4 linked regions of the Rhinolophus ferrumequinum genome follow. The protein of the gene in region 1 binds, or shares a complex with, the protein of each later gene. Links are inferred from orthologs where the notes say so. Each region holds a gene or a part of one and is shown in the gene's direction. Other genes may lie near its edges. The genes, in order: GTF2E2, GTF2E1, POLR2J and GTF2F1.

Region 1 (7,514 bases):
ACCGTTGAATAGAATGACTGGGATAAGTGGAAGATGACACTAGAAAATGTGTGCTGTTTGGAGAGGGTCTTGATGATAAATGGATGAGAAGATATTAGCAACATGGAATTGTTGATTGTTAAACGTTGAAGATTGTTCAAGGAGGAAAATGTCAAGGTGGGATTGGAAGATTAAAGTGAAAATAGCAAAAAAATCAAGAGTAGGATGGGGGAATCAGAAATGAGGCTGAGATTATCTTTGTGTGAGGTAATGAAGGACCTGCATTAGGGTGATTGCAGTGGGGATGGAAAGGGACATGTGTAAGAAAATGGGCAATGAAAGAGTCAACAGAATTTGTGCACTGATTGAACTTAGGACTTGAGGGTAAGAGAGGAGTCAAAACTAGCCCTGAAGTTTCCAGCCTGAGGGACTGGTGGAAAGATAATACCATTAATAGAAAGAGACAAGACAGGCAGAGAAACTGGTTTAAAGGGGGCAGGTGCAAAGTTTAGGACATGTTGAGTTTGTGGCCCCACTAGGGATCTGGAAGTTTAAAAGCTGGAGTTTAGGAGAAAAGGTCTTGGCATTTGTTTAAAAATTTACTGTTCTTTTGTTAAGATACTACTATATAAGTCCAAATTCTAACTATCCCTCTGAGTTATCCATAACTGGGTACTCTCATGTCTAGGTGCAGTGCACATGCTAATAACTTGTTTTTCTCAAAAAGAATTCTTTCCTCCCTTATGGGATGAATGCTAGAGAGGAAGCAGGGTCCTAGGGAGATTGTTTCAGGAGGGGCAGGCTGCATTAGAAAGTAGGGGGAAAGACTCCAAAGGAGGAAACACTATCAATGCTAGAGAAATCCAGGACAGGTGATGAGCAAAGTACTTATTTTAGCTCTTGGTTTGTGTGGATGTGGGCTAATTGCTTTGTCAGCTGTTTTGAGAATTTACATATCTAGTTCGTTGAGATGGATTGTGAGGTGAGGAGAGTTGAAAGGCAGTTATTACTTGATGGCAGAATGAAGTAAATTTATTTACTTTATCTCAGTTTTCCTCTTCCAAACAATTATGTAATGTAAAAAAATTAAAATATAAAATTAAGCCACTACATAAAAAAGAAAAGTTCTGATACACGCTACAACATGGATGAACCTTCAAAACATTGCAAGTGAAATAAGCCAGACACAAAAAGACAAATATCGTATTATTCCACTTAAATAAAATATTTAGAAGTAGGGCAAAGTCGTAGAGATAGAAAGTAGATTAGAAGTTACAGGAGGCTGTGGGGAGGAAGGAATGGGGAATTATTGCTTAATGGTTACAGAGTTTCTGTTTGGGATGATGAAAAATTTTGGGAATAGGGATGATGGTTACATAATATTAATCTAATGCCACCAAGTTGTACACTTTAAAATGGTTGAAATGATAAATTGTATCTTATTATGTTATATAGATTTTACCACAAATAAAATAGTAGAAAAATATCCACTGTATTGGAATTAATCCTGTGGTTATACTGAGTTGTGTATTTTGGGTGGGAGGGTTTGGATTGGTCATGAGAGAAGAATGTTTTATAAAATATAGAAAACATATTTCCCTCAAAAAGCCACCACGCTTTCTACTAAAAAGTATGCAGGGCATTATAAGCATTCATGAGATGAGACATAATTGCTATTGCATTAGTAGCTTGAATCATTCTTCATATAATTTGACACTAGCCACACCCTTCTGACCTGAAATACTAAAGATGCCAATATGTAGGTGGTTAAATTATAATAAAGGTTTGTTTAAGCATCAGTGGTGGAGACTGTGTATATCATACAAGTAGCCGTATCCCTATAAAGAGTTATGTCTCACAGCTTAAGGTGGGATATTTATCCAATGCCTTCCCTAAGCTCTGGCTAGAGGCTGCCCAGGTGGTGTCTACAAGGTATGATCAAACAATACAGTGAATGTTTAAATTAAAAAAAATGATCACAGTAAAAGACACATTGCCATTAATCCCCCTCAAATAACTCCCACTCGCTTTGAACACATCCCATCATTCTCGCCACTTTCTGAAGCAGTCCTGGAAGTCCTCTTTAATGAGTGTCATTAGTTGCACTGTCATGGCTGCCTCGATGTCCAGAATTGATACAAAACATTTACCTTTCATGGTCATTTTGACTTTGGGGAAGAGCCAGAAGTCGCACGGTGCCAGATCCAGTGAATAAGGTGGATGAGGATACACTGTAAAGTTTTTATTTGACAGAAATGACTGTACCAGAAGCGATGTGTGACACAGAGCCTTTTTGTTGTGATCATAAAATATAGTGAATGCTGCTGCCGAGTGCCATCCAACGGAAAGGCAGGGATCTTCAATATGAGAAGTGGCAAGTAAAACCTTAGTAACAGTGTGCGACAAGTTTCGACTTGTTTGGTGCAGTCAGGTGTGTGAGCTATGGTTGAGAGAAGGTGTGTTTTAAAGTGTGCCCTAAATCATCCTTCACCATGACAATGCTGTGTGTCACACATCACTTCTGATATACGGCAATTTCTGAATAAAAACATTACGGTGTGTCGCCATCTACCTTATTCACCAGATCTGGCACCGTGGGACTTCTGGCTCTTCCCCAAAGTCAAAATGATTCCGGACATCAAAGCAGCCACGACAGTGCAACTAAAGACACGAAAGAGGACTTCAAGAACTGCTTCAGAAAGTGGCAAGAACGATGAGACAAAGTGTGTTTGAAGCGATATGGAATATTTTGAGGAGGATTAATGGCAATGTATCTTTTACTGTAATAATTTAAACATTCACTGTATTGTTTGATCACACCTCGTATATTAGGTCTCTTACTCATTGTAAAGTAACCAGAAGAATGATAGAATCGTTTCCACAAGGATATGAAAAACTGGAATTTATATAATCACTAGGTAAAGAAACAATGAAATAAAAATTAATAAATTCATATAATACTGGCTCATGTTTCTCAGCACAATGCAATTTTAACCTTTGGGATTAATTTTTGTACTTGATGTCTGCTCCTTCTCACCATTACACCTCATCAGTTTTTTTACCAGTTCATATCTGGCTTTACTGGGTTGTAAAACCTCTGGGCCCTACTAAATTGTTACTCAAAGTTACATTTCCTGACGGTATTACATGAACATCAAGTGAGTTTATTACAAAATCCTCTAGAATGAAACAATTTTTAAGTCGCACAATCTCTTTTGGCTTTATTTCCAAGTTTTGAATAAAAATTTATGTGTCATCTCATTTAATCTTTGTAACAGTCTAATGCAAGTAACCCATTGTAGTACAGTTATTCCTTGATGAGAAAACCAACACAGGTTAAGTAACCTGAGTAACTAGTACTAAGTAATTAAAAGACAGCTACAGAATAGCTGAGCACAGGCTATACTGCTGCTTTGGGTTATAAAAGTGAGGGAAGGACATCGCAGAAATCTGACACTCCAATACATTGTAGACTGGGCAAGGCCCATTACCGTATTTTGCCATGTATAATGAGCACCCACGGTTTTGGCCCAAACTTTCAGGGAAAACTCATTATAATTTTTTTAATTCAAAATTTTATTAGTTTACATTTAGGTACTTGTTTTTCGTATTATAAAGGAATTTCAGCATTTATTTTTTTAACATGGTACAAGAAATTTTGTGGAATAATTACAAAACAGAAGAACAGATACAAGCAATAAGAAATTTTATGTACCGGTACAAACTAATATTTACCCATCATAGAAGGCCAAGAACTCTATCCTTGCAAGTTGTCATAAGTTCAACAAAACCGATTATCGTATTCCAGGGTACTATTTTGCATGCGGATGTGGTTATTGATTTCTAGAATTACACCTTTAACTCATAAGCATAAATAAATGAACGTTGATATAAATATGGAATTAGTACTACCCATGTATAACGCGCATCCTTATTTTTCCTTCAAATTTGAGCCAAAAGTGCGCATTATACAAGGCAATATACGGTACCGCTCGTTGCTTTATTCCTACCCCTTTCTGTTGCTTCTGAATCCGAAATCGTTTTCTAAGACTATTCACAGGTGTTGCGGTTTGGAGTTCAGAAACTGGGCTTCACGTCAGGATTTGCCTTTGCTAGTTGTGCTGTTTTGAGCAAGTCATTGAGTCGTTTCCCTGGGCCTCTTGTTTCCTCATTTGTAATAGAGCTAGAAGAATGTTCTCGGAAGTTAAAATTGTGGTAAAGTCACAAAATACCTAGTAGACAATAACTTGAAAAATTGCGTCGCCCTGTGGGTTAAAGAGATTCCCGAGCACGCTGGAGGAGGCTCTCGTAGCTTTAAATTTCCGCAAAGGAAAGATTTCCATCTTAGCTGCTGCTAACAGCCTCCCACCTACTAAGTCCCGTTCTCCACCCCGCCCCCAGCCCTGCTCCCGTTGTTATGGAGATCCGGAACGCCCTAGCTGGCTGCCGTTCCTCCCGCGGTACCCCTAACTGGGGGCGTGATGACGCACGCGCGTTCTAGGCTGTGAAGATGCCCCGTTGGCTGCCGGGACTGAGCTCTTAGCTAGTTCAGGAAGCGGCGGGCGGGGCACCCGGCCGAGTCGTCAGTGGTGCGGCCGCAGCCGCCGCTGCTACCGCCAGTGCGGAGATCCGGAGCTGGCGGGGCGGCGCTGGGCGTGCGTGCGGGCAGACGGGGGCGCTGAGTAGGAGCAGAAAGCGGCGGCCAGCGGGCGTCAGCGGCTGGCGGAGGCGGAGGCGGAGGCGCAGGGAGGCGGCGGCGGGTCGCGTGGGGCGGCCCACCTCGCTCAGGTAGGGGCTGCGGCCGCCGGGTGAGGGGCGCGGAGCTCCGGCCTGTTGTTCCTCGGGGGAGACCGCCTCCTCCCGAGGGGCGAGAGTGTCTTCCACCCCTCGGGAGGCTGGGTGCCGTTTACTACGCGGAATACAGTAACAACTTGTTGGGAGCATTGTCTTTTAGGCCGGAGGTTTTTTCAGCAAACTTTTGGGTTGTAAAGGGAAATTCGCAGTCGGGTGGCTGCTGGTGCCTCTTCGTAGCCCCCAAGTTTACCTTGGCAGTGGCCGAGCGAACCATGTGTGTGGAGTTTGGGGACCCACCGATGTCCAGCCGACTAAAAGGCTGTGATTTAGAGGCTCGTTCACGGACTATTTTTTAAAGCTGCCTTGTGGCGACCTGGTTTGTAATGATTCCTAAACTTTAGTTATAATTGTTTTCTGTAAAGTCCAAAGACGTTTTCCAAAACAAAACGCTGTGGCACATTTTTCTCCCACCTTTGCATTCTGTCACTTAAGATGTAAGCAGTCTCTTTTCTTACCTTGCCGGCTGTTCGCCAGTGGCACCTCTGAGGCTTAGTTAGGGACAGAAGCAAAAGAAAGTAGAAGGGTTGAAAGAAGTACCGTAGGATGAGACGGTGGGAAGAACGTGGGCTTTGGAGCCGGAAGACTGTGGCTTAATTTTTGCTTCTCAGTGTCCATCCGTGACACGTGGGCACATGAACTCCCTGAGTTGTGATGTTTGTTTAATGTACAAGGGCAGGGTGATGTGTCCTGTCTACCACACTAGTCAGTGCATGTAAAACTACAAATACTGAGTACGGTCGCCTTCTAACAATAGGAAGGGAAAGTTAGGCGGAACATGCGATGGTGAAAGGTAGACATGAAGCCGCCTGCTCTGGGTGCCGTTGAACATTACCCCTACCTGTCCTGGGTTTTAGACGCCTTGACCAGCATGGAGTAGGAAGATCTCTAAACCAAAGTACCTGGACCAGGATCCAAATATCCTGACTCCTAAATCAAGTACGTGTTCCTTACTCCACACCTGAAATGCTGGAAAAGGCCTTCAAGCTTTAAAAGGCTCTGGAAAATAAATCCTTGCCTTCAAGCAGCTTACATTTGAGAACATGAAAGCATCCAGCACTTCCTTTAAAAGCAATGAATAAATAAAACGTGACCTCGAGTGTTTTAGAGTTAGGATATTTGGTCCAAGTACTTCTTGCTGTGTGACCCTAATCATACCTCTTCACTTCAGATTTCACATATTAAAATAGAAATAAAACAGATAACCTATTTTCTACTGGAGATGTGAGGATCAAATGCTGTAAGCATTTAGATCTTTGTAAACTGGAAGGCTTTTATTTATGTGTTATGTTAAAATCATGATTAAAAGCCTGGGTTAATTACCTTGTCTTTACAAGGTGAAATAAACAGGTGTTTCCTGTTTTGGGCTAGTCGCCCCCCACCGTATCACTTGTGAATTCTCTTGTCCCTCGCTGCCCCTCTCCCCAAGACTGTCTCCTATCTTCCTTACCCCAGTATAATCATTCTGTTCATTTCTTTTCAGATCCAATAAAATAGTAATACTGAAATAACATTTGTATAGTTTTACTATTTGAAAAATCGCTTTCTCGTTTTATTCTTACAATTGGGCTAGATGTAGACAGCGTTGGTAGTATCCTCATTTGACTTACAATAAAACTGAGTTTATGAATCGCCCAGGGTCATGTTACTGTTGGGGATTAGAACTGAGAGGGAGAACGTCTTTGATTTGAGGTCCAGTGCCAGTGACTCTTCCTTTCTTACTTAACTGGTTTACTCTGATTATTTATTATCAGTGCTTATATTTTTAACTTTTAGCATGCTAAATCACATTCATTTTTTTAAGTGAGGTGCTCAATGCTTTCATGTTCTCAAATGTAAACTTCTTGAAAGCATGGATTTATCTTCTAGAACCTTTCAAAGCTTGGAGTACAGTGACTCACAAACAGAAGACATTTAATAAAGACTCATGAAAGCAGTAACAACGAAGTTAGAGCAATTTAAAGATGTTTCCCTGTTCATTATTCACTTAACAAATATTTATTGAACTACCCCGGTGCTTGAAGGTTTTGAAAGTGTAAGATAGTGTTTTTCCTCTGGGACCTTCCTTCCCGACTTATGAACACTGGTCTCAACAGTGCACGAATCATTTGCATAGTCAGCTTGTATGCTTCCTAGAGTCTCTCTATAGGATTCTTGAGAGGATTCAGACAAGAGAGGAATGTTTTAAAATACTTGTTGAATGATCTGTGGCTTCCCTGGTTGTATTGAAGTGTCTCACAATTTTAGAGTTTTAGAACTGAGAAAAAACATGAAGAGGTTTAGTCCCACCTCGCTCCAAATCAGGAATTTTCTGTAGATATTTCTACCAAATATTAATCCAGCCTCTTCATCACATAATGTTGGAGAGTTCACCAGTTTTAAGATACACCTTTCATTTATAAGCAATTCTGATGGTTCTGTCTCTCTCTTTTTTTTTTTTTTTGCAATGAGCCTAAATCTGCCTCCTAATTTCTACCCAGTAGTTCTGATGTTTCTAAGCAGCATTGTAGAGATACAATGTGAGCTGCAGGTGTGAGCCACATGTGTAATTTAAAATTTTCTACTGGCCATAGTGTTTTAAAAAGTTAAAAAGGGGAAATTAGTTGTATTTAATCCAGTATATCCAAAATATTATCACATTAACATGTAATCAATCTAAAATATCTCGTTATTAATTTTAAAAG
Region 2 (7,406 bases), on another chromosome or scaffold:
CTCACCATTTCACAGTTCCATATTTAGATACCCCAATTCTCTCAGACAGTGATTTTTAAAAGGAAGCTAACCACATGGCCTAGCTTTACCCTTTGGAAAAAGAGAACTCTCCTCCTTATCACTTACGTTTACTTTTTATTATAAAGTTACATTTACAGACAATCCAGAAAGTATTTTTAAAAAAGGGAAAAATCACCTGACGAGCACTATTGTCAACATAAAGGTTTATTTAATTCCATAAGCACGGTTTTTCTTTTTTCCTGTTTATATTATTTGTTTTTAAAAATATTTTTATTAAAAATATAGCTAACATACAATATTATATTAGTTTCAGGTGTACACCACAGTTATTCAACATTTATATACCTAACGAAGTAATCACTCTGATAAATCCAGCAACCATCTGACACTATACTAAGCTATCACGATATTATTGACTATATTCCTCATGCTGTACATTACATCCCCATGACTTATTTGTTTTATACCTGAAAATCTGGACCTCTTATTCTCCTTCCTCTTTTCTCCCCTTTAAAAATTTTTCAATTACAGTTGATATTCAATATTATTTTATATTAATTTCAAATGTACAGCATAGTGGTTAGACATTTATATAATTGAAGAAATGATTTCCCTGACTAGCTTAGTACTCACCTGGCATTATCCATACTTATTCATAAGCAGGGTTTTTCTATAAGCAGGTTGTTATTGTGAATATATACAGTGTACTTAAAAAATAATAAAACATAAGCTTTTGTTTTCACAGCTGGTTCTGTCTGGAATATTCTACCCATCCCCCTCCTCCATTTCTCCTCCATTGGCCTGCTGAATTAATCTGTCAAGACTCAGCATCACTCTAGTTATAAAATCTTTTCTGACTCCACACAGGTAGAACTAAGCACATCATCCACCATCCTCAGGGTCTCCACTGTACTTTCTACATTTTTCTATAGAACACTTAAAATAGATTATTACACTAGTTTATAGGTTTTATTCACTCTGTTTAGTTTTAATTTTCTTGACGATTGGCACTGGGTTTTACTCATCTTTTTTTTTTTTTTAAATTTCTAGTACTCAGAATAGGGCCTTAATTAGTATTTATTTAGTGACTAAAATTTTCCATGTTATTACAGAATCTTCCTAAACATGTTAAATGTCTCCAATTTAACCATTCCCTCATTATTCAATACTTAAGGGGTTCCGAAATTTTCACTATGCTAAGAAAATATTTCTGTTTAAACTTGTTTAAAATTAAAATTATTTCCATAGTATACCTTCCCAGAAGTGAAATTAATATGTAAAAGGAAATAAACATTTAAAGTTCTTGATATATACTGACAACTTTCATCTGGTTACTCTGCCATCAGCCTGCATCACTGGATGAACTCTATAAACAGCAAGGTCTTGTTGCATCTCAACAATATCATCTATTTGTTTTTTTCATCTTTATTAATTTGATAAGAGGAAAAAAAGTGACATCTTGCTTTAGTCTGCATTTCTTTACCCCTTGGTAAAGATACACATTATGATCATCTTTGCTAATCAGTTATCTTTCCTCTCTTACGAATTATCTATCTACTTATCTACTGGGTTTTAGTGTTATCAATTTACATGGCCTCTTTATGTATTAGCGGTCTCATGTAATTGGGTTGGTGCAAAAGTAATTGCGGTTTTTGCAATTATTTTCAATCTTGTAAACTGCAATTACTTTTGCACCAACCTAATATTTCCCCAGATTTCCCTTTTATTTTTTATTTATTTATTTTTTTTGGAAACAGACATTTAAGATTTTTGTGTACACAAACATAGTTTTGTCTCTGTATTTATTACATTACCTCTGTGATCTTTAGGGCATATTGTTGACTTTTGTGTTTGCATGTAAGTTTGTTTATGTATATTGGAGGTATATATCCAGGCATTTAGTTATCAGCCTGGTGCAAGGCTTGAGCTTCTAGTTAAGCTTAACTGTGTCAGAGTAAGCATCTTCATGCAGTAACATTGTATAACTCTCCATGAATTAACTGCTTTGAGTGGTAAGAGTTAGTTAACACTGGATGAACTCGAAACAGTAAGAAAAATTGAAGTAACAGAAATAATGGTTAACTATTCATTTCTTTAAGAATTGTGGGAGGTTCTGATTCTATTTTCACCATTAGAACTAAATTATAATAGATTTAAAAATGCATTGATTTGCTGGGGGGTAAAAGGCCCAATATAATTACATAAATACTACTCCAAATATAGTTGTTGGTAATGTACTAAGCTCATCCATTATCGCTGAAGGAACAAAGAGAAGTTGGTACATGCATTTTAGTGAGACTTTCAGGATTCCTTACTGAATTATCAAATATCTCTATGGGATACAAGACAAATCTCTAAATCCCAAGTCATTCTTTTATATATTTGTGAAATCCTTAAGATTTCATGAGGGAAATAAGTCTTTGTTCAAAGGTAAACTTTGAAGTTTGAATACAAAGGCAGACGAAGTGTAAAAAGTATATTCTAACCTGGCAGATAGCAAATCACTGTTAAAAGAGAACTGATAAAAAGGCAATTGACTTTGTACACATAATCTAACATTAGTGAATGTGTGACAAGATCAATCACTTTCCGATGGATATGGCTGTGTCTTCTCTTTTACAACTAAATTATAATGAAAAAAAAAGCTTATTAATTGCCTGATCACTTTTCCACATTTAATGCAGCAGTCAATTCAACTCTGATATGTAACACATTGATTCCACAGTTATAACCCCAGCACCTAAAACAGTGCCGGCTATGTAGTAGCCACTTAAGTTTTAGAAAAAAAAAAATTGACTAGTTCCAATAATATGTAACATGAAAGAAAGGATTATTAGAGGCAACAGAAAAGGGAATTATAAAAAAGAGAGAACATCCACTTCAAATATGATGTGTTAGCTCTGTATTCCAGTTCTAAGTCCTACTTGGTGATACTCTTACCAAATCCCTTTAGACGTCTACACTATTACTTTCTTCAACTGTAAAACTGAGTGATTTTATTAAATTAACTTCAGCACCACTTCAAGCTAGAGAACTGTATTTTATTCATAGAATTTCATAATGCAACTTAACGAGAATTTTAAATAATGCTTTCTGTAAAATATTTTGTAATGTAAATAATCTTTGGGCAATGTGAAAATGTTCTCAACCTCCTCCTCAATCAGACAATGTTCTTTAGTGCCGTAAAGGTAGTTTTCAAGCTCTGGGGTAAGTGCTCTCTATCTCTAAGCATCTGGCACAATGTCTTTGCTCACAACACACTTTCAAAGGTCAACTCCAGAAAAGCACATCTATGAACTGAAAGGTTAGCATTTATTCCAAGTTCTAAAGGAGCACAGGAGTGGAGGCTATGGTGAGAAAGGATAGTAAGGTGAGAAGAGGGAATGCAGAATTCAATTCTAGTTCTCAAATGTCCAAGGTGTCAAAAGAAGAATTTTAACATTAGGACAAAACTGGGCTCAGCATTAAGTCCTAGCTACTACATAATATGGCCCTTACCTTAATGTCTCTATTTCTTACAATCTAGCACCTAACAGGTTTTCAATTAACATCAAAGAGAACAAAGAAATCAAGAAGCCCAGTAGAGAGTAAAACAGGACTACCACTCGATATTTCATTTCATAATATAGTTTAGTGTTTAAGTACGTGGCCTCTGGGTTCAAACCGGTTCTGTCATTTATATCTCTCTGCTTCACTTTTTGTCATCTGTGAAATGGTGTGATAGGGTTGATCTCGGGATTAAGTGAGTTAATATATGCAAAGCACTTAGAAGAGTCTTTTTTTTTTTTAAGTGCACGTTTGACTTCCTTAATAAACAAACTCTTGAAGGCACAGTCCTAACTTCTGTCTTAGCCCGGCGCCCAATACAATGCTCAATGTCTGCATATCTTTTAAATAAAAGGAACTGACAATATACACTAGGCTACGATCGCCCAGGAGATTGACGTTGAAAGACGCGAAGGCCGAGAAGGGCCGGGACTCCACGACCCCCATCCGCGCGACGCCACCGCTCCGTCAAACAGAGCAAAGTCCTCTGGGAAGTGTAGTCATTACGCCTTGGGAGGGATTTCAGCCACGGATCGGAGTCAGTTAGTTTGCGGGGCGGGGGGGAAGGGGAGTAGTAGTTATCGGATAACTCAAAAGTGTCGGGAGCCCCAGAGGTGGGTTAAGCAGCTCACCTGAGTCTCCCAACACCAGTACTTTCACCCGATCCAGGGACGCCATCTTGCCATTGCCTTCCTGGGGTTAATACCAGTTCCGGGTTGTAGGCCAATCAGAGCTGGGCATGGAGGGCCGAGCCCTCAATTTCATTGACCAATCAGAGAATGACCATCTTGATTGAAGGCTTCACTGTGCTGATTGGCCGGCCTGGTTAAAAGAAGCGGGTGGTTTCCAAAGCTGGTCGCAGGAATAAAGCGTTTTCTTTGTCGCTCGAGTGGCGTGACACGTTTAAGCCGGTAGTTGAGGCGCTGAGGGAAGCTGTAGTGGGAGTGTTCGAGGATTCGCTTTGGTAAACCTTGTTCCCTGTTTCTTGTTCTCGGTTCCCTGGCCCGGAGTCGCATTTCAGGGTTTCTCTTCCTTTTCGCTCCTGGCCCTTAGCCACCCTCCTCCCCTTAGCTACTCTCTTGACTTGGTCCTCCAAAGAACCATTGACCCCGGAGCGTCCCGTGTGCGACCTCGGGTAGGACGGGCTTGGCTGCGCCGAGTGTGGCCCCTGGACTCAGCTGGCAGAGTCCGAGGAAATGTGGGGTCTCGCAGTGGGGAGGAGCGCACGTTATTGAACCCGGCTCGTGGAGGGCCGCTGGGTCCAGAGTTCGCGGTGGTATGCAGCTGTATATTTGAAGGCGTGGAGAGTACCATGCAATATGGTAACTGAGAAAACCATTTAAATGTGTAGGATCCAAGTTATTCCACAACTGGAGTAGTAGTATGCTGAAAAAAATCTAACTGGACCTACCCCCCCCATCCTATCCTTTCTCCTTTTATTTTACACTCTGCAGTCAGCATAATCTCTTAAAATTGCGAATTTGATCCTGTTACCTGCTGCTTAAAACCATTTAAAGTTTAAGAAGAGGGTTTCCAGTAGCTTTTTCTAACTCTGGAAGCAGCAGTGGAGGAAGTAAATTGGGGGGAAGCTGTCCGGGTGGGCATGTTGGAAGAACGCGTGCTTAGGACATCTATTGAAAGTTTTATGGAAGTAATTTGACTAGCTGTGCTGGATGCTGGAAAGTCAGTGGTGAACAAGATTGAGTTCCTGGTCTCAGAAATAATCGGAGAATTACAAGGTTATTCACTGTAACGAAGAAGGTTGGGAAAGAGCTATGGGAACTTGTGAAAGGGGTTAATACTAAGCTACTAAGGCGTATCTGGGAAGGTCTCTTTGAGGAACTGTCACTTGAGCTGTGGAGGATTATTAGGAGAAGAAAGTTTAGGCAGAGAGAACAGCATGTGCAAAGGCCGAAAGTGGGGAAGGCGTGTGTGGCACGTGGAATTGAGATGACGCTGACAAGGGTAGACAGAGAATGCATTCATTTAAATTTTGTTTCTGCAACTGTGCTTGGTACACAGTAGTTCTTCAGTGATTGTATGATTAGAATATATATGATTTAAAAACAAAAGCAACTTGTCTTTGGGGGTCTGTGCTGGGTAGGGAGGTATGTAAGACTGCGAGGTGACTGAACCTCAGGCTAAAGATGGAAAAAAGGCTTCCCCTAAGAGGTCACGCACTTAAAACTTTCTAGAGGCTAGCCAAGTGACAGCTGCTTTTCAGCTGCAAGTTATCGTTTCCATGTGGGAACATGGTCTCACTTTTCCTCAGATAGTTCCAATTTTCAAGAGGAGCTGAAAATTGAGATTTATGTGAGATCCCACTATTTTAAAATGTTGACGACTGATTCAGAAAATTTTCAACAGTCTTTGGGTCAGACAGTATAGCAGAGGCTGCCAGTTAGAGACCTCTGACCTAAGTAATTTAAGGAATCCAGAGATTGAGTAGGAGGTTTAGCATATGTGGGGAAGTACAAGTGATGGAAGAGAGAAGGTATTGGTCAGGGAGGATTTTACAATGTAGAGATTTTGAACAAGATGACTTCTTTCCTGAGCTTCAATTTCATTTGTGCAGCTACCTACTGGATGGACATCTTCACAGGACTATTCCATGGTATTTCCTCAAAGTAGGCAACTAAAAGTGAATCCCTCAATTCCTTCCAAACCTGTTCCTATTCAGGCGTTAACCTATTTTTCATAGTAGTAGTTTTCCTAGTTACACTGGCTTAAAACAAATAGCTATATGTTATTGTTTAATAAAATATTGTTTGATGGTATAGTGTTTCAGTTTTATAAGATGAAATATATGGAGATGGATGGCGGTGATAGTTACACAGTAATATGAATGTATAATATCACTGAACCGTATGCTTAAAATGGTTAATTGGTAAATTTTATGTGTAGTTAACCACAATAAAACTATTATTAAAAAGCAAATATTTAAAATTTTTCTTCCCTCTTACTCCATTTCCAGTATATTACTAGATCCTCATTTTGATTTTGTTTCTGTAATAAGTTTCATTCCTGAAATTTTTTTGCTGTCTTTCTTAGTTCAGGTTTGATTATAACAGCTCCTAGTCCTTCCTTAATCCTCCATCTTCACTTACCTCAGGCCATTCCTCGTATTATTGTCACTTTTCTGCATAGGGGCTCTTATTATGAATGCCAGTACTTAATGGAACTCTTATGATGTTAGCCTTGAAAGCAGCATACTATACATGAATTATCTCATTTAATCCACACATCAATTCTATGAGGAAGGCACTGTTAATCACTTTTCACATATGAGGAAACTGAGACTGAGGATTTTCCAGGGTCACAGGCTGGCTAAGAAATGGGGGAACTGGGATTCACAATCCAAAACTATTGGACTGCAGAAACCTCATGTCACTCCCTGGCTCAAATCTTCAGGACTCCCTAAGGTGTTTCAGGCAAAGGAAACAGGCTGAGTAAATGGCGCAGGGTTCTTCCCATGCTGTGTACATTGGCAGGACATGCTATAGCCAGGTATCAGATTAGTCTGGAGCAGGGGTCGGGACTTTTTCTAGTAGAGTCACCTAAACAGCTTTTAAAATAAGATGATGCCTAATCTGACCCTCCCAGACCAGCTGAAACAGAATCTCTGGGAATGGGGCCCAGGTGAGTACTTTTAAATTCTCCCCAGATGATAATCCTTAACAGCCAGAGTTGAAAACCATTGGTTCCGGAAGATGGAGTGTATACAATGGGAGGTCAGGGAGGGGAATGCAATAGTAGGAAATAATACTGGAAAAATAGGTTATTTTGACGTTTGTCTGCCATTCTTTGATCTGTTGGGTATTTCTGAAGCCATATGTTAT
Region 3 (7,684 bases), on another chromosome or scaffold:
CCAGCACAGAGGCAGGCTCTGTGCCCACAGGCCCTGGCGAAGGTAGGTCCCTCCCATCTGGACTCTCAGGGTGGCCTGAGCCCCCTTCAGGGATGCTGTGTGTGGGGCTCCTGAGGGCCACTCCCAGGGGCCCTTTGGTCTTGGAGACAGGCACTGGCAGGCGAGGCCGTGCCTGCCTGACCCTCACTCTTCGTCTGCCTCCAGCCCTCGAGGACCCACTGGCCCAGATGCTGCAGGTTCTACAGGATCTCCAGGAGGCCCATAGCCGCAGCCCAGCCAGCTCTGAGCCCTTAGAGCCAAACTGCCTCCTGGAGCTACAGACGTGAGGTCTGTCCCACACTCTCTTGCCGAGCCCCCTGCCAGGTGCTTGGAGATCTCGGGTGCACTCTTGGTCCTTCACCTCAGTTCCTCTCATAGGGGTGCAGGACCCGAGTCTTTCCCGAGCTGGGGGAGTTTGGGAGGCCAGGGACCAGAGCGTCCAGACTTCAGGAACTGACAGGACTTGAGCCTGTCATTGCCCATGCAGAGTCTCTAGGGGACTCGGGCATCTGCTTCTCTGTGAGGCCTGGTTGCTCCCTGTGGGCCCTGCAGCCATCACCACCACTAGTCCAAACTCTCCAGGACCCTCCTCTCCTGCTCAGGATAGACCCAGCCAGAAACTATCCCTAGGAATGGCCGCACCAGGTGGACTGACACTTCCTGGGACTCAGAGAGGCGGGAGGGAACACAGGCCCCAGGAGACCAGGCCTGGACCTCAGCACCCACTTTACTCTCAGGCACCACCCTATCTGCTCCCTCACAGTGGCTGTGCCCTGGGAGAGCGTCACGGTGCTCTATTGCCAACAATAAACCTGATGTGACTGCGGCTCTGGGGTCTCGTGATGGGGGTCGGGAGGGAGTGGGCCCGGGAACCCCAAAGCCTGCTGGTGGTGGGGGGGGGGCACCAGCATAGTCTCTCTGCATCCCCGTCTCTTCTTTGCTTCCCCATCTCCCCTTTGCTTCCCCATCTCCCAGGGGGGCCTCCTTTCTCCTTCCAGCTGCTCTCCCCACCACGCCCCTGGTTCCCCTTCCTCCATCCCCCACAGGCTACAGAGCCTGACTTCGTTCACCAGCTGTTCTCTCCTTACAGCCCCCAGACAGGCCCTTTTTCCAAGTGTCCTGAAGACTGCACAGTGGGGGCGGGTTCAGAACCTGGAATCACGTGGCCTGGCCCTGGAAAGCGTCCCTTATGCCACCCTCCTTAGCAAAAGCAAGGCTCCTCTGCTTGTCACCTCCCTGTCCTCATCCCGCTCCATCTAGGTACACAGTAACCTCCAACATAATTAACAAGACTTGAGGGGCAGGGGCTTCCAGCACGTTCTTTGAATCTCATCCAACCAAGCTTCAAGCCTTGCCTGTGAATACTAGGCCTAGCACAGTTCCCAAGGGCCTGGGTCACAGGCAGGCCCCCTGACACAGCTGACCGGCCAGGTCCTGGGGCAGGGCCATCTGGGCTGGCTGCATAGTGGGTTCTTTGAGAGATGGCAGAGAAAGCAAAGGGGGCATGAAGGAACAAGGGGCTGCCCTCTTCCCTCTACCCTATGGCATTTGGGGCCATGGTGATCCTTTCTGGCCACAGCCTTGATGGGGGTACAGTGTCCTCCCATAAGCAGCCCACCAACCCCCGCCCCTTTATATGTTCATTGCCTCTTGGTCATGATGCCACCATCCTATGGACCTTACGAGCCTCTTTGCAGGGCTAGGTACCCCCCCACACACACACCTGCCTTCTTAACCCAGGGCTTGGGTCCAGCGCTGGATGAGCCCCTGGTTCTCTGGCTACTTCTTTAGAGTCACACAAATCCTTGTGCCTGTTGGATCTTCTTGGGTTTCAAGGACCTCAAAGGAAGTGTAGACCCCACTGTCTCCTGAGCCCTAGTTCAGGGAGTGAAGGGGAAAGAGGTGTGCACTTGTTGACTGCAACAAGTAGAATTCTGGATTTTAACAGCGCGCATACACCACCCACTGGCAACGCCCACCACCCTGTCCTCCAGTGGACACCGGTGTGGACGTGGCCACTGCAGCCAGAAGGGGAATTCAAATGAGTAAGGGCCTGGGACTGCCTCCATCGCTCATGTACCTCCACCCACAGAGTCGCCTCTCAGGCTCCGAGCCCCGGATGCCACATTGTTTTAGGAAGCCACCTGGGAAAAAAGGGACAGAGGAGATGCCTGCCTGCCCATGGCACAGGAAGGTGCCAGAGGTCACACCTACCTGCCCAGGGATTCTATACCAACACCCCCCACCCTGGGATTGCCAGGTCTGTTATTCACCCAGAGCCTGCGTCAAGTCCCCCAGATGTCTTAAGGGTCTGATTGGACCCTCCCACAGAGCCCTGCTGCCCAGGAGGCAGGCTGGCAGCGCAGGGCAGGCATCCTGGGAAACCCTGAGTGGGTCCAGCTCACATGGTACGTGCATCTTTCATCCTCTGGGCCTGTCCTGTAGGAAATCTGGGCAAATTCCCACCAACTTCCTTTTGGAAAAGTGTAATTCCTGCCAAAACGTAATTTTCAAGTACGTAAAAAGAAATAACTTACACAAATACAGAATAAACGTATCAGATATTTACACATCAAAGAGGAAATGAATGTTTGGTAAAGCTGGTTTGTAGAGCACTTTGAGAAGCTAGGTATTTGTAAGCATTTTGAGGAAAGAATGCTACAATAGGGCAGGCCCCGTCGCGGTGCAATTCCCACAGGGGCCAGTGAGCTGCGCCCTCTACAGCTAAGTTGTGAACAACAGCTCTTCCTGGAGCTGGGCTGCCGTGAGCGGCTGACCGATGACTGGCGACCGACTGCCTCAGCCGGGGTAGGGGGGTGGGGGGGCACAGGCTCATAACACCAGCATGGGCCAGGGAGCTGTGTCCTACACAACTAGACTGAGAAACAATGGCTTGAACTGGAATGGGGGGGGGAGGCAAAAGAGGGGGGAAAATAATACTAGAATAAATTGTGATGTTAAAAAACTGGGAAATGGAGTTTTCTTCTCTATGGGATACAAACCTACAAGTTCATAAATAACTTCAGTTTGATGATAAATAAAACATCAAAGTCAAACACAGGTCCATTCCCCAAGATTAGGGATTTTAAAGGCCCAGGCATGCAAGTTTTGGTCATAATTACTCTCAGAGCACAAAAGTAGCCATAGACAATGAGGAAACAAATGGGCTTGGCTTACTCCAACAAAACTTATTTACAAAAACTTGGCAGGCTTGATTTGGTTCACAAGCCCTCACCGTTTGACGATCTCTGCCATACATAAGTAAGCCTTGGTCAGGCCTGTTCAGCCACGCTCCAGTGTTACACTGACAGAACATGCCACACACACCCAATATTTATCATCACACGTCCAGCAGCCCCTTTCGCAGTGTGCCAGGCAGGCCTGTCTTACCAGAAGATAGGAACGGTCACTTGGCCTCCTCTTGGGGCACACCAAAATTGAGCCTCTGAAGGCTCGATTCGGGGAGGGCTGACATCTTCTGAAGCCCAGAATCTCGTGTTGGTCTGGGAATCAAAGGGTGAGTACGACCAGAACTCCCCAAGAGAGGACAGACTTCCACAGTGGAAAGAAGGGTGAAGCCTCTGCTGGGTAAAAGTCCTCTCCCCACCCTGTCCAGTTAAGGGCGGCCAGCCTCGGCACCTCCAGGCCCCTGCAGTCGTGGCAATGGTAGCATCCTTGGTCCAAACATTTCCAGGATGATCCAGGAGGGTAGGGGTGACAACCTTGGGACATCATTACCCTCATTGCCTTCTATTCTTCACCAGTTAAAGAGGCCTCCACCCACTTGACCTGGAGAGTCAAGGTTTCTGTAGATCTCCAGTGAATGAGGCTTCCTTACCCCAGGGCTCAAGGCTTAAGTAGGAAATGGCCCTTCCCAGGAAATGGTAGTAAAGTTCCAGATTTCCTTGGGGGCTCCTTGGCTGCTGCTCAGACCTAGGAAACAGCTGGGAAGCTGTTAGGGCTCCAGTAGCTGAGACTCCAGCCCCTGTTGCTCCAAACAGCTCAGGTAGGGCCTGTATACTAAGCTGTAGTCTGCAGGATATCAACCCAAACGGACGGTACACCTATCCCTCGCAGCGCCTCTCACACCTCTATACACCTGCCGTCTCCCTCAGCCCTCACCCAACTGTCTCCCTAATAAGCTCACTAGGACACAAGCCTACTTGGCAAGCCAGTGACAACACAGCCAGGGGCCTTGTAGCAATCTGCCCAGGCAGCCTTAGCAGGGGGCTTATCCGTACATAGCCGTCTGGCTTAAGGGATGGATACCCACGAGCCTGTGAGGTTTCTGTCAGCCCCACCAGACACACCTATCCACTGCCCCGTGGCTCCATTGTCCACTCGGGGACCTCTTGCTGTGCACTCCAAGGGCACATTTCCGAAGAGGGATCAAGGGACATAGGGAGAAGAGAGGTGGAGCCCAGGGCTGCCGCTTAGCCTGCACGAGGAAGTCAGTGCGCAGAGCAGCTCCCCGCTCTCCGAGCCTGCGCCACAGTGCGCTCCCAGGGGGGCGAACGCCACAAGGGACCTTCGCGGCTCACGCGTGCGCAGAGCCAGCAGCCGGCCCGGGCCCTCCGCGCGTTCTCCCGCCTGCGCGAGATCCCCCAGTCCAGTAGGGGGCGCCGAGCCGGGCCGTACACGTGTTCGGCCCCGTCGGCTAACCCGGAAGAAGTCGCGGGAAAGCGCCCTGGAGGTAGTGGAGAGTCTGCAGGACGCGGCGGCGCCAGGATGAACGCCCCTCCCGCCTTCGAGTCGTTCTTGCTGTTCGAAGGCGAGAAGAAGTAAGTGGGCAGGGGAGGGTCAGGCCTTCGACTGTCGGTCGTGGGCGTCTGCAGAGTCTGGGGCTTCGCCTGCTCTCCTGCGGGGCGGGCGGAAGCAGCTGTTGCTTGAGCTTCGGCGCGCAAAGCGCCCGGCGCCTGTGTCTGCCAGACTTCAGGTAGTCCTGCCAAGCGGTGGGGACTGTTGCCTTTGCAGCTGAGGAAACTGAGGCTCAGAGAGGTTACGTAATTCCCCGGCACAGGAAGTGGCGGGTCTGTGTTGGAACCCAGAATGGCTGCCTCCGAAATCCTTTTCCCCTGGGATTGGCAGCCCCCTCCTCGGCTCCTAGCTGACCACCTTTATTCTCCTTGCTGAAGCCAGAAAGAGATGGCTGTTAGACTCATGTGCAATCTCCATTCGCTTGTGTAAAACCTTCATTGCTTGCAGGCTGAAGGAAAATGTAGTCTGCTGGTCAGACAGCCTGGGCTTGGCGCCTGCTTCCCCCGCGTAAGGACCCTTGTTTGGGCAAGTGAATTAATCTGCCTGAGGCCCACTTTCATCATCTAGAAAACGGGCTTATTACTGTATTGAATTATGAGTAAACCTAAGGGGAGATTAAATGAGGTAACTTATGTGAAGTGCTTAGTCCAGGGCTCAGCATCTAGAAGACCCTCTTAAACATTGGCTTTTCATTCTCAACAGCCTGGTGTGCAGGGCTCTATGTTTAGCCCTTGCCAGCCACTTCAGCCTCCCTTGAGAGCAGTGCTTCTCAACTGGAGACTATTTTGCCCCCCCTCCCCGCCCCCCAGGACTTCTGGCTATGTCTGCAAACGTTTTTGGTTGTCATAAAGGGTGCGCTCCTGGCATCTAATGGGTAGAAGCCAGGAATCCTACAATGGACAGACAGCTCCCTACCAAAAAGAATTATCTGGCTTAAAATGGCAGTGGTGCCAAGGTGGAGAAACTGTGCTTTAGGAAGAAGGAGCAATCCGGAGGAGGTGAGGGTCCCACAGAATCGGCGTGACTGGGCTCAGAGTATACACTAACTGCTGCTCTGAGTCAGAGAGGCCTTTATGGGATGAAGAGATTGCGACAGGCTTCCAGGAGGTGGGACCCGAGCCTGCCTGGAAGGGCAGGCTTTAGACTCGGAGGAGGAGGGAGCCCCTGCCCCCATCTCTTGCCTCTGCGTCTTCCTAGGATCACGATTAACAAGGACACCAAGGTACCCAATGCCTGCTTGTTCACCATCAACAAAGAAGATCATACGCTAGGAAACATTATTAAATCGTAAGTTCCAAGTCCAAGGCTCTTGGGGGCTGTGTTGGATGGGACTCTGAGGCAAAGCACAAGTTCCAGAAGATTTTCTTAAGTCTCTTTGAGCTACAAGAAGTCCTTCTGATGGCTCGCTCTGGCAGTTCACTTTCCAGTACCTTTTCTTCAAAGGTACTGGAATCTGTTCACATAGCCACATTTCCTTTTGGCTCATTTATCTGACTGAAGTGAGTGAATGAATGTGCAGGAAGCCGCAAGTAGGCCTGCTTGTTTTTGTGCCTTTCTCAGGTTTGCGTGTTTAGGGTGTGGGCAGAAGCCTGCCTGGTGTCCTGGTGTAAGTAGGGGGTGGGGTTGCCCACCTGTCTGGATGACTCCTGCCTGAGCCAAGCCAGTGGGGCACTCAGGGTCTTTGGGGGCCTTGCTGCTCCTCTGCTGTGAGCTGTGTCCCTACCTTGCAAGGTGCTCACACTTGACACCTTGCTCTGCAGAAAACACCCGCGTGTCCAGCAAACAGCACAGGCTTCACCTCACCACCACCTCACAGAACAGCACCCCACGGGTGTGGGCAGCTGCCAGCCCCTTCCAAAGGACTTCGGTTTCCATTTTGCTAACTGCTCAGAGCTTGGGGCCTTCTCCCCCTGCTGCCTTTGTTTGCCGTGCCAGAGGCTCTTTTGGGGCTAGGAACGGGCCTTTTGTGTTTTGGTTTACTGAACATTGGCTGGATTTTTACTGCCTAGGGAGGTCTTTTTGGGGTCATTGCAGGGTCCCTGACTTCCCCTCGGGAAAGAAGTTACTGGAAAACCTGTTTATTAGCTAAGGTTCCTGATCCTGATGGATGTAGGGGTGTGTGTGGGAGGAATCACCATATGGTATATCTTCTCCAAAGTTAGCTTTTACTTGAAGACTTTTTTGGCGGGGGGCAGGGGGACAACTAAAAACCAAGTGTAGGGAACCACCTAGTGTCAGCCCCCAGCCACATCTGCAACAGGAAGACCCCTTGGCTAGGCCTGGTAAGCTCCAAGGGGCCAGAGCGCCAGGGGCACTCGGCTCAGCCTTGCTCACTGCTGACCCGTGTCGCAGGCAGCTGCTGAAGGACCCCCAGGTGCTGTTTGCTGGCTACAAAGTGCCCCACCCTCTGGAGCACAAAATCATCATCCGCGTGCAGACCACCCCGGACTACAGCCCCCAGGAGGCCTTCACCAATGCCATCACAGACCTCATCAGCGAGCTCTCCCTGCTGGAAGAGCGATTCCGGGTGAGGAGCTGGACGTGCAGGGGGAGAGGGGAGGTGGGAACGCCAGCCTGTGTGCCCAGAGCTGCAGGGCTGTCGTGCCCACACCTAGGACCACCCAGGGTTGTTTCCTCGGACTTGTGTGGGGGGAAGGGGTGATGACAGCAAGGACTTCCCCCACTGCTTCCCGGAAGTGTGGAGAAGGGGTTAGGAGTTGAGGCATGGCGCCTGCTGTCGGCGTCCGTGCGCAGGAACGGACCTAGTGCTCCAAGGTCTCCTTGTGCACTCTTGGGGTCCCTGCTGCCCCCTGCTGCTGCTCCTCCAAAGCTCTTCGCTGGTGCTGGCCGCTTCTAGGGCATCTGTCTAGGGGGCAGCTCATCCTAG
Region 4 (7,914 bases), on another chromosome or scaffold:
GCACCCACACATGCCACAAACCCTTCTCTCTCCTGGTGAGGACAGCGGCTGTGACGTGGGTGCCTCTCCACGACGCTTCTGAGTTTGCCTGAGGCTGTGCAGGATAAACGTTCATTGGTGATTCACTGCCAACGCTGTTATTTTAAACTTTGAATTCCATAAACTTCTTTTTTTACTTAACTTTTTTGTTTTAAGGCAATGATAGCACTAAGGCAAAAGGAGAGTGAATGTTACTTCTGTGGACGTAACTGTAAAACAAATACATACGAATACTAATAGCCTGGTTTTGGTATGGAACGATGGTCAAATAAGACGGCGCCCTTGGGGGGAGCTGGGTGAAGGATACAACAGGACCTTTCTACCATTCCGGCAATGTCCTGTAAGGCTAAAAAAGTTTTAAAAATAGTAAATGTTCTTCCGTGAGCCCCCTAAAATCATTGTTTGCAGGTGACACTTTGGGAGAAATATCGGCCCAGATAAATGGGCCTCCTAACTCTGGGCGTTCATTTTAGTCCAACCTGATTACAATGATCGGAGCTCCACAGGCTTTGCCTGGCTCTGCCCACTGTCCCTTGAGCAGACGGTGGCCAAACCTCCTGCGGGGCTTCCTGTGTATTCATTTGACATATGCTGCCCACCAAGGGCAGGCTAGAGTCTGAACAAACAGTCCTGCCCCCACTACCTATATTGTGTGACCCGAGGCAAGTTCCCCAATCCCTCTGTCAGAAAGCAGAATGCCAACAGTACGAGAACCGTTCTTCTAGAATGTTCTGGAAGATCACAGTTAACCTATGCAGAGTGTGGAGAACAGTGCTGGGCTCAGTAACAAGCTCAGGACGAGTTCATGTTGCTGTTACCATGGGGACATTCAGGCCCTGTGTTGCCAAGTCAGGCAATTTTTAAATTTTTTTTTTTTTATTGGGGAATATTGGGGAACAGTGTTTCTTCAGGGCCCATCAGCTCCAAGTCGCGGTCCCTCAATCTAGTCTTTGTCTTTCAATCCAGTTGTGGAGGGTGTAGCTCGGCTCCAAGTCCAGTCCCCATTTTCAGTCTTTAGTTGCAGGGGGTGCAGCCCACCATCCCATGTAGGAATTGAACCGGTAACCTTGCTGTTGAGAGCTCACACTCTAACCAACTGAGCCATCCGGCCGCCCCAGGCAATTATCAAGAGAAGTTGGGAGTTTTGATGTGGCATCTCCCGAGTTTTGAAAGTGGGCCACTCATTTAAAATTAAAAAAAAGGGTCAAACACTCTAGAGACAAAACTGAACACATTGGTGGATCGAATAGGGCCTGAGGGCTGGGAGTTTGTAGCCTCCGTTCTGAGACTTTGTGGCCATTTGTGGCGTCCATTCAGCTGGCATTTATGACTGGGTGCTTACTTTAGGGCAGGCACTGGCCCAGGGCTGGCGAGGGCAGAGGAGTCCACTAGCCCAGCCTTTCCCCTCAGAGCTCCCAGGCCGGGAGAGGGAGCCCATCACTTACCCTTTGACTTCGTCACAATGAGCCCCACAGAAATGCTTCAATGGAGGTGCGAACAAAGGGCAGGGCCCCACCCAACAGGGGACAGCTGTCCCAAGCTGGGTGACCTTTGTTTGATTCCCACCTGGTCTTTTTTGCTAGATTCTTCTTCTGGAATCTAGCAAGTTCCAGAAAAACCTGGAGGCCTACAGCCTGCCTCAATTTCTCTTTTCCTGCTCAGCCATTTTCAAATGCTCCAGTCCTTGCTGTTCAGGTGCCCGGATGCGCCTTTTCATAAAGTCAGCGTGGCTGACCTGTAAAAATAACCTGAAGAAATTCATTCCAACTTGTCCAGCACCGGCTGGCTCCTCCCTCATCTCTCAGCTAGCTCTCCAATATCCCCCCTTCAAGGGGCCATCTGAACCACCCAAACTGAAGTAGTGTCCCTCCAGGGTGTCATTCTGTCTTCTGTTCTTCACTACACTTATCGCTAGGAGAAATTTCTGTTTAGTTTTACACATGATGTATCTCTCTGTTTTTTGGCATCCTAAGAGCAAGGACCAAGCCTATCTCACGAATGCCCGAGTTCAGAGTCTGTCTTCATGGACTATTTGGGGAATAAATAGATGGACGAAGAATTATATTCCATTTTTATGGCCCAGAGATGCTGCTAAACACCCGTGCTACTCAGTGGGCAGGCACTGTGCAGGGAAATACTAAAATGACTTTGTCTTTGCCCTCAGAGAACTCTCTAGCTCTTCACCTGGGTTCTAGAAGCTTCCAACAACCTGACTCTTCCTTGATAATACAAAACTCCATTTCCCTCTGTTCATCTCCTCTCCCCTGAGTCTCAGCCCTTCTGATCTCCATCGTAGGAAGGGAGGGGGGAACAGCTCCACGCCTTACACCCTAACACCCTCACACAGTTTTGGGTCACTCACAATGCGCTCGAATTCCTTAGCTTGAATCAGCTCCCGAGGGAAGCCATCGATGAGGAAGCCCCGGCTCTCTGGGCAGGACAGCATTTTGTCATTGATCATATCTAGGATGATACCCTGGGAAGGAAAGGGGTGATGGGTCATTGTCCATAGGCCCTCACCTATGAGGTCACCTTGGCAAGTTGTCTTTCTCAGTCTGGACCTCTGATGAATTTGGGAAACACCTGCCCACCACCCAAGATTCCGAGTCTGCCCAATGCCCTGGGGCCTCCACAAGCTCTTACAAGAAGTAGGTACAGCGGCTGTCTACTGGACAGGCATCTACTGTGTGCCAGGCTGGCTGGGCCTCATTTGCTCATCACAGTCACCTTACAGGTAGGTACTGGAGTGACCTTATTCTGTGGGTGAGGAAATAGGTACAGAGGAGCCAATGATATATGTGCCCAGGGTCACAAAGGGAAAAAATACTAGCTAATTTTATTGAGTGCTTCATAAGTACCAGGAACTCTGCCAAGTGTTTTATAGGAATGATGTCATCCAAAGCTCACCACAGACTCTTGCTGTGGGTCTAGCTGCTCTCCCATTTTACAGATGGGGACACAGAGGTTCAGGGCAGCCAAACAGTGGCAAGGAGGGGAGCCACAGCCTTCCAGGCCCATCAGCTTCCACAGGGCCTTTCCGGGAAGTTCGTCCCCACGTAGCCCCTTCTTCCCTCCACCCCTGCACCCATGAGCTCTCACCGTGGGCACCAGGAGCCCCCGTAGCATGATTTCACGAATCTTCTGGCCCCGCCGGGTACCGCGTTGGGCCTCCTGCCGCAGCAGCTGGCCCAGCCCCACATGGCAGAAGCCATACTTTGTCGCCATGTTCTTGCACTGCGTGCCTTTGCCACAGCCTGGCCCACCCATCACAAAGATGATCAGGGGGGACTTGAGCATCTCTGCGGTGACCAGGGAAGAAAGAGGGAGACGCATTGGTGCCGGTAGGGGTCAGTGGGCACTGATGCGATTGTGTCCACAGCTTAGTGCATATACTGGACACAGTCCTGCTGGCATACCCACTTTTGCCTTAGGGTGGCATCTGAGAGTGTGTCCTGGCCCATTGGTGTATCCAGGCATGGCATGCGTTAGTGCTGCTGTGGGTTCAGTGGATGGTGTAAACCTGAGCAGGCTAGGCCCTTGTACACAGCATCTCCTGGAGGTGTCACAATGACTCTAACATCCCAATTTACAGTTCAAGAAACTGAGGCTCAGACAGGGGCAGGTCCATCCCCCAGACGCATTCCATACCACCCTCCCCTTCCTTCACTCCGGTCCAGCCCCCAGTGGTGGCCTGGACTCCTTTCTGTCCCTTGAACTTGCCAAGCTCATTCCCCCCTCAACTTTTCCCTAACTTCTAGGAAATCCCTGCCCCAGTGCCTTCAGGTTGCAGCTCACCCATCATCATCCCCTGTGTCAGAACCCAATTTCCTCCACAGCAAAGGCCACGATCAGTAATGACTTTGTGTACTTTTTCTTCTTTGTCTCCCTGCCAGACTGTACTCCATGAGGACAAGGACTATTTCTGTCTCACTTGTGCCTATATTTCTATATTTCTAGTAATTTACAGTTCCTGACATATAGTAGAGGGTGAGGACTAAGTGAGTGTCCACGACTACCGGCCATGTCTACGGGGTGCTGTAGTTTATGGTGGAATTTTGGTGTCTTGCTTCCCTCCACCTTTGCTTAGCCAACTTGTATGCATCCTGCTGGGCCCAGCTTAAATTTCCCCTCTTCCTTGAGCCCTTAGAGCCAGCTGTGCTTTTCCTGTAGTATTTCCTGAATTGTAGACACCGTTTTCTGAGATCGTCTCCTGCACTATACTGTAATCTCCAAGGGGACAGGGAGCTGGTTTGGCACAGTCACTATGGAGTGCCCAGAATCCAGCACAGCAACCGCTCAAGTCGATTAATGAATGGCTGATCTGTGAGCATGCGCAGTTGTATTACTACTATGGGGGGGCCACACCTGGACAAGTGGGATGGGGTACTTGTACCTTCCTCTTGCCCTCCACAGCCTCCTTCCCTTTCCCCCAGTAAGCCAGCCATCCCGCGATATTACCCTTCTCCTTGGGTCTCAGGGGCCTGCCCGTTTTGGGCAGCTTGGACTTGAACAGACCCATCCTGCCAACGACCCGTGGGGTGGTCGCGCCCCATCCCCGCTCAGGCCCTGATCTCTCCTGGCTCGGCTCAACGTCACAAGGGCACCTGTCCCAACCATTTAGCAAGATCATGGGGTGTCCGCGGAGCAGGGGGAGCAAATGAACCCCAAAAAGGTTCAGATGGAGTCGCGGCGTCTCAACGCGTCAGAGAAGGCCTCGGTTGCTATGGTGACGCGGCCTCCTTGGACTCACTTCCGGAGTGGAGCAGCGCAAGCGCAAGGCGCCGAGAGCCCGCGAGGGTGGATAGGTTTTCTCCGCTCCCAGGATGCCCCGCTGCCCTTGCGTGACGATCTCACGGGGAGGGCGTGCCCATATGTCATGATTAGATTAGCCGTCCTGTGTAAAGCGGTCATCCGGTGTGCGCGCGCTGGGGGCACTTAATTCAGACGCGGACTGCCTCGCCGCTCTGAAAGGGACCGGGAAACTAGGTGACAGCGCGTTGAAGGGCCCGGGGCAGAGGGGAAGTTGCCATCGTGACGCGGCCTGCGGGAGAGTTTCGCTTTCACGTTAGTCGGCGGCGCAGGCGCAGACGTGTTAGCAGCGGCCGCTGAGGCGGAAAGCTGACTGAGCGCCGCTTTCGGGTAGCTTTTCCCTGGATCGGTGGCACCACGGACTTGGGGTCCTCGATCCTGGCCAGTGACCCGACACCACGAGGGCAACTTCCCCCGGACAGAGGGTCGCGGACCCTAGAAGAGACGAAAAGGACCCGGATCGGATCAGACCCTAACCGCTGACCCTTGCCCATGGCGGCCTTCGTAAGTATGTGGCGGGTTTCAGGAGACCCTGCGGCGGCTTCTGCAGCCCCTCACTCGGCCTCTCGCTTTCTCTGTCCGCAGGGCCCCGGCAGCCATAATATCACTGAGTATGTCGTTCGAGTTCCCAAGTAAGTCCCAAATCCCACCTCCCACCCCCCACCCCCCAAAAAAGGGATTAAAACCTTCCCAAGCCTCTAGGCGTTCCCGGCGCTGCTTGTGATTCCACCTCCTGAGTGGCAGCGACCTGAGGGCGGGGCTGGGTTTGAGCTGAGGCCTATCTATGGCATCATTGTTTTTTGAACAGAGTGATGGAAGGAATGAATGAATTCTTAGTGCGTTAATATGCAGTAGGATGCAGCCCCTGGCCTAGTATTTCCTCTGCCAGGAATACCTTTTTCCCAGCTGACAATGCTGCTGCATTCTTGTTGATCCCAAAAATCCAGTTCCAGTATTTTCCTCCTCCAGGAAGCATTCCCTGCTTGCCCTCCCTTCTTCTCTCCAGGGCTGAGTTCCAAATTATCCCCACATCTCGGGTTCCCCTAAATCGTTGTCTCTTCTATATGGGATTGGGAGTATGGATCTGGCTCCGCTGACTGACTGGGAACCTTTGGGGTGTATTAAAGGCTCCCATCATTGCCTGGCATGAAGGGCTGAACTGGGGAGAGTTTGTTGGATGGATTGATTGAGCACTGCCTCTTCTTGCCCATTCCAGAAATACAACCAAAAAATACAACATCATGGCCTTCAATGCAGCCGATAAAGTCAACTTCGCTACTTGGAATCAAGTAAGTCCCTGTTCCAAAAGGGGTTAGAACTTGATCCTGGACTCGGTGGTTATAATAGTTGCTTAGTTGTAATAGTATCTAAGGCTTAGTTTTCTCAGCACTCCCCCAGTGCCGAAAAATGATGAATAGGGCCCGGGCTGAGCTGCTGGGCATCACTTTGAATAAGATTTGTTAGGCCCTGCAGGAGGCCTTCTGAAAGGAGAATATTTAGGGGTTGTGCCCACTGATGGGCATTTTGGGCCTAGATTTATCTGGGCAAGGGAAGGGGAGACAACCTGTAGATGAGCTCAGAGCCCCCGTTGTCAGAAGCTCTGGAAAGGGCTTTGGAAACTGTCTCAGTCCATTGGGGCTGCTCTGACAGAACACCATAGACTGGGTGGCTTATAAATAATAATAGACATTTATTACTCATAGTTCTGGAGACTGGAAGTCCAAGAGCAAGGCCCCAGCAGATTCGGTGTCTGGTGAAACCCACTTTCTGGTTGATAGACAGCAGTCTTCTCGCTCACCGTCCTCTCAGAAGGGGCGAGAGAACTCTGGGGTCTTTTTTTTTTTTTTTTAAGGACACTCATCTAATTCACCAGGTCTCCACCCTCATGACCTAGTCACCTCCCAAAGGCCCCACCCTTACATACCATCCCACTTGAGAGTTAGGTTTCAACGTATGCATTTTGTGGCGGAGACACACAAACTTTCGGTCTGCAGCAAAAACCACTAAGGGTTTGAAACAGGGTGTTGTAAAGTGATCTCTGTGGGGTTGAGGCAGATGAAGCAGGGTTGAGGCGATAGCTCTGGTCATGGTGAGCGATGATGGTCTCGAGGCAAACAAGAAGAGAAGCGATTGAATGATGGTGTGTTTTGGAAGTGGAGCCAACAGCGTTTGTTGATGGATTGGATATGGAGGGGTGAGCGCCAGGGCAGAATTATAGACATGCATTTCAAAATAATTTCTACTGCTAAATTGCCCAGAGATCGAAATTTGGAAAACCTCAGCCTTTAATGGCATCTGAATTCACGGGGCGGTCCAGAATCGAATGCAGAGAGAAGAGGGCCAGTTCCAAGCAGGTTGTTTTTCCTGACCAACCACAATGGTTTTACTTGTTGTTGTTTTTTAAACAAAATTTTTTTTTTAAAGATTTTTTTTATTGGGGAAGGGGAACAGGACTTTATTGGGGAACAGTGTGTACCTCCAGGACTTTTTCCCAAGTCAAGTTGTTGCCCTGTAAGTCTTAGCCGTGGAGGGTGCAGCTCAGCTCCAGGTCCAGTTGCCGTTGCTAGTTGCAGGGGGCGCAGCCCATCGTCCCCTGCAGGAGTCGAACCAGCAACCTTGTGGTTGAGAGGATGTACTCCAACCAACTGAGCTATTCAGGAGCTCAGCGGCAGCTCAGCTCAGCATGCCGTGTTCAATCTTAGTTGCAGGGGGTGCTGCCCACCATCCCTTGTGGGACTCGAGGAATTGAACTGGCAACCTTGTGGTTGAGAGCCCACTGGCCCATGTGGGAATCGAACCGGCAGCCTTTGGAGTTAGGAGCATGGAGCTCTAACCGCCTGAGCCACCGGGCCAGCCCCACTTGTTGTTTTTTTTAACTTACTTGGAAATAATTTCAAACTTTCAAAAGCTGCAAAAATAGACGTAGTATAAGAAAGGCTTGCCTGAATCCCTTCACTCACATTCACTGAGTGCCAACTTTCTCCCCCTGTTTGCCAAGCAGGAAGTTGGCTTGGAGTATCTGCAGCTCAGTCTGGGGGGGCGTATAGGGTGTTCTTGGGGGTGGGG

The links.
Region 2: the proteins of GTF2E2 (region 1) and GTF2E1 are in contact, whole or in part, in a crystal structure (PDB 5GPY), measured with the Homo sapiens proteins. The link is inferred for Rhinolophus ferrumequinum from reciprocal best matches to the Homo sapiens genes GTF2E2 and GTF2E1. Residues at the interface, in NP_002086.1 of Homo sapiens: Asp159, Gln160, Arg161, Gly162, Leu163, Gly164, Gly165, Leu167, Leu190, Val192, Asn193, Arg194, Pro195, Ile200, Phe202, Cys208, Gln209, Phe210, Ser211, Val212, Asp213, Glu215, Phe216, Gln217, Leu219, Trp220, Arg221, Val223, Thr224, Val225; in NP_005504.2 of Homo sapiens: Arg16, Lys19, Tyr20, Val21, Arg23, Gly24, Phe25, Tyr26, Ile28, Glu29, Leu32, Arg39, Leu51, Leu52, Lys53, Phe54, Asp55, Gln58, Gly68, Asp69, Lys70, Phe71, Lys73, Thr98, Asn101, Val102, Val103, Lys104, Tyr105, Lys106.
Region 3: GTF2E2 (region 1) and POLR2J share a complex: the UniProt entries of both Homo sapiens proteins name them as parts of the TBP-based Pol II pre-initiation complex. The link is inferred for Rhinolophus ferrumequinum from reciprocal best matches to the Homo sapiens genes GTF2E2 and POLR2J.
Region 4: GTF2E2 (region 1) and GTF2F1 share a complex: the UniProt entries of both Homo sapiens proteins name them as parts of the TBP-based Pol II pre-initiation complex. The link is inferred for Rhinolophus ferrumequinum from reciprocal best matches to the Homo sapiens genes GTF2E2 and GTF2F1.

What each region holds. Positions count from the first base shown.
Region 1 is NC_046287.1:67,078,089-67,085,602, forward strand, and holds the start of GTF2E2 (transcription initiation factor IIE subunit beta), read left to right. Parts: upstream 1-4,501; 5' UTR 4,502-4,767; intron 4,768-7,514. UniProt on the Homo sapiens protein: Recruits TFIIH to the initiation complex and stimulates the RNA polymerase II C-terminal domain kinase and DNA-dependent ATPase activities of TFIIH. Both TFIIH and TFIIE are required for promoter clearance by RNA polymerase.
Region 2 is NC_046285.1:46,086,469-46,093,874, forward strand, and holds the start of GTF2E1 (general transcription factor IIE subunit 1), read left to right. Parts: upstream 1-4,402; 5' UTR 4,403-4,531; intron 4,532-4,540; exon of another isoform or gene 4,541-4,889; intron 4,890-4,912; exon of another isoform or gene 4,913-6,194; intron 6,195-6,234; exon of another isoform or gene 6,235-7,206; intron 7,207-7,406. Other genes in the region: RABL3 (rab-like protein 3), read right to left, coding at 4,200-4,245.
Region 3 is NC_046290.1:92,243,688-92,251,371, reverse strand, and holds the start of POLR2J (DNA-directed RNA polymerase II subunit RPB11-a), read left to right. Parts: upstream 1-4,670; 5' UTR 4,671-4,767; coding exon 4,768-4,820; intron 4,821-5,994; coding exon 5,995-6,084; intron 6,085-7,149; coding exon 7,150-7,324; intron 7,325-7,684. Other genes in the region: RASA4B (ras GTPase-activating protein 4B), read left to right, coding at 1-42, 205-326. UniProt on the Homo sapiens protein: Core component of RNA polymerase II (Pol II), a DNA-dependent RNA polymerase which synthesizes mRNA precursors and many functional non-coding RNAs using the four ribonucleoside triphosphates as substrates.
Region 4 is NC_046301.1:57,926,575-57,934,488, forward strand, and holds the start of GTF2F1 (general transcription factor IIF subunit 1), read left to right. Parts: upstream 1-4,908; 5' UTR 4,909-5,103; exon of another isoform or gene 5,104-5,182; 5' UTR 5,183-5,340; coding exon 5,341-5,352; intron 5,353-5,433; coding exon 5,434-5,480; intron 5,481-5,975; exon of another isoform or gene 5,976-6,064; coding exon 6,065-6,137; intron 6,138-7,914. Other genes in the region: adenylate kinase isoenzyme 1, read right to left, coding at 2,402-2,515, 3,139-3,338, 4,498-4,669. UniProt on the Homo sapiens protein: TFIIF is a general transcription initiation factor that binds to RNA polymerase II and helps to recruit it to the initiation complex in collaboration with TFIIB. It promotes transcription elongation.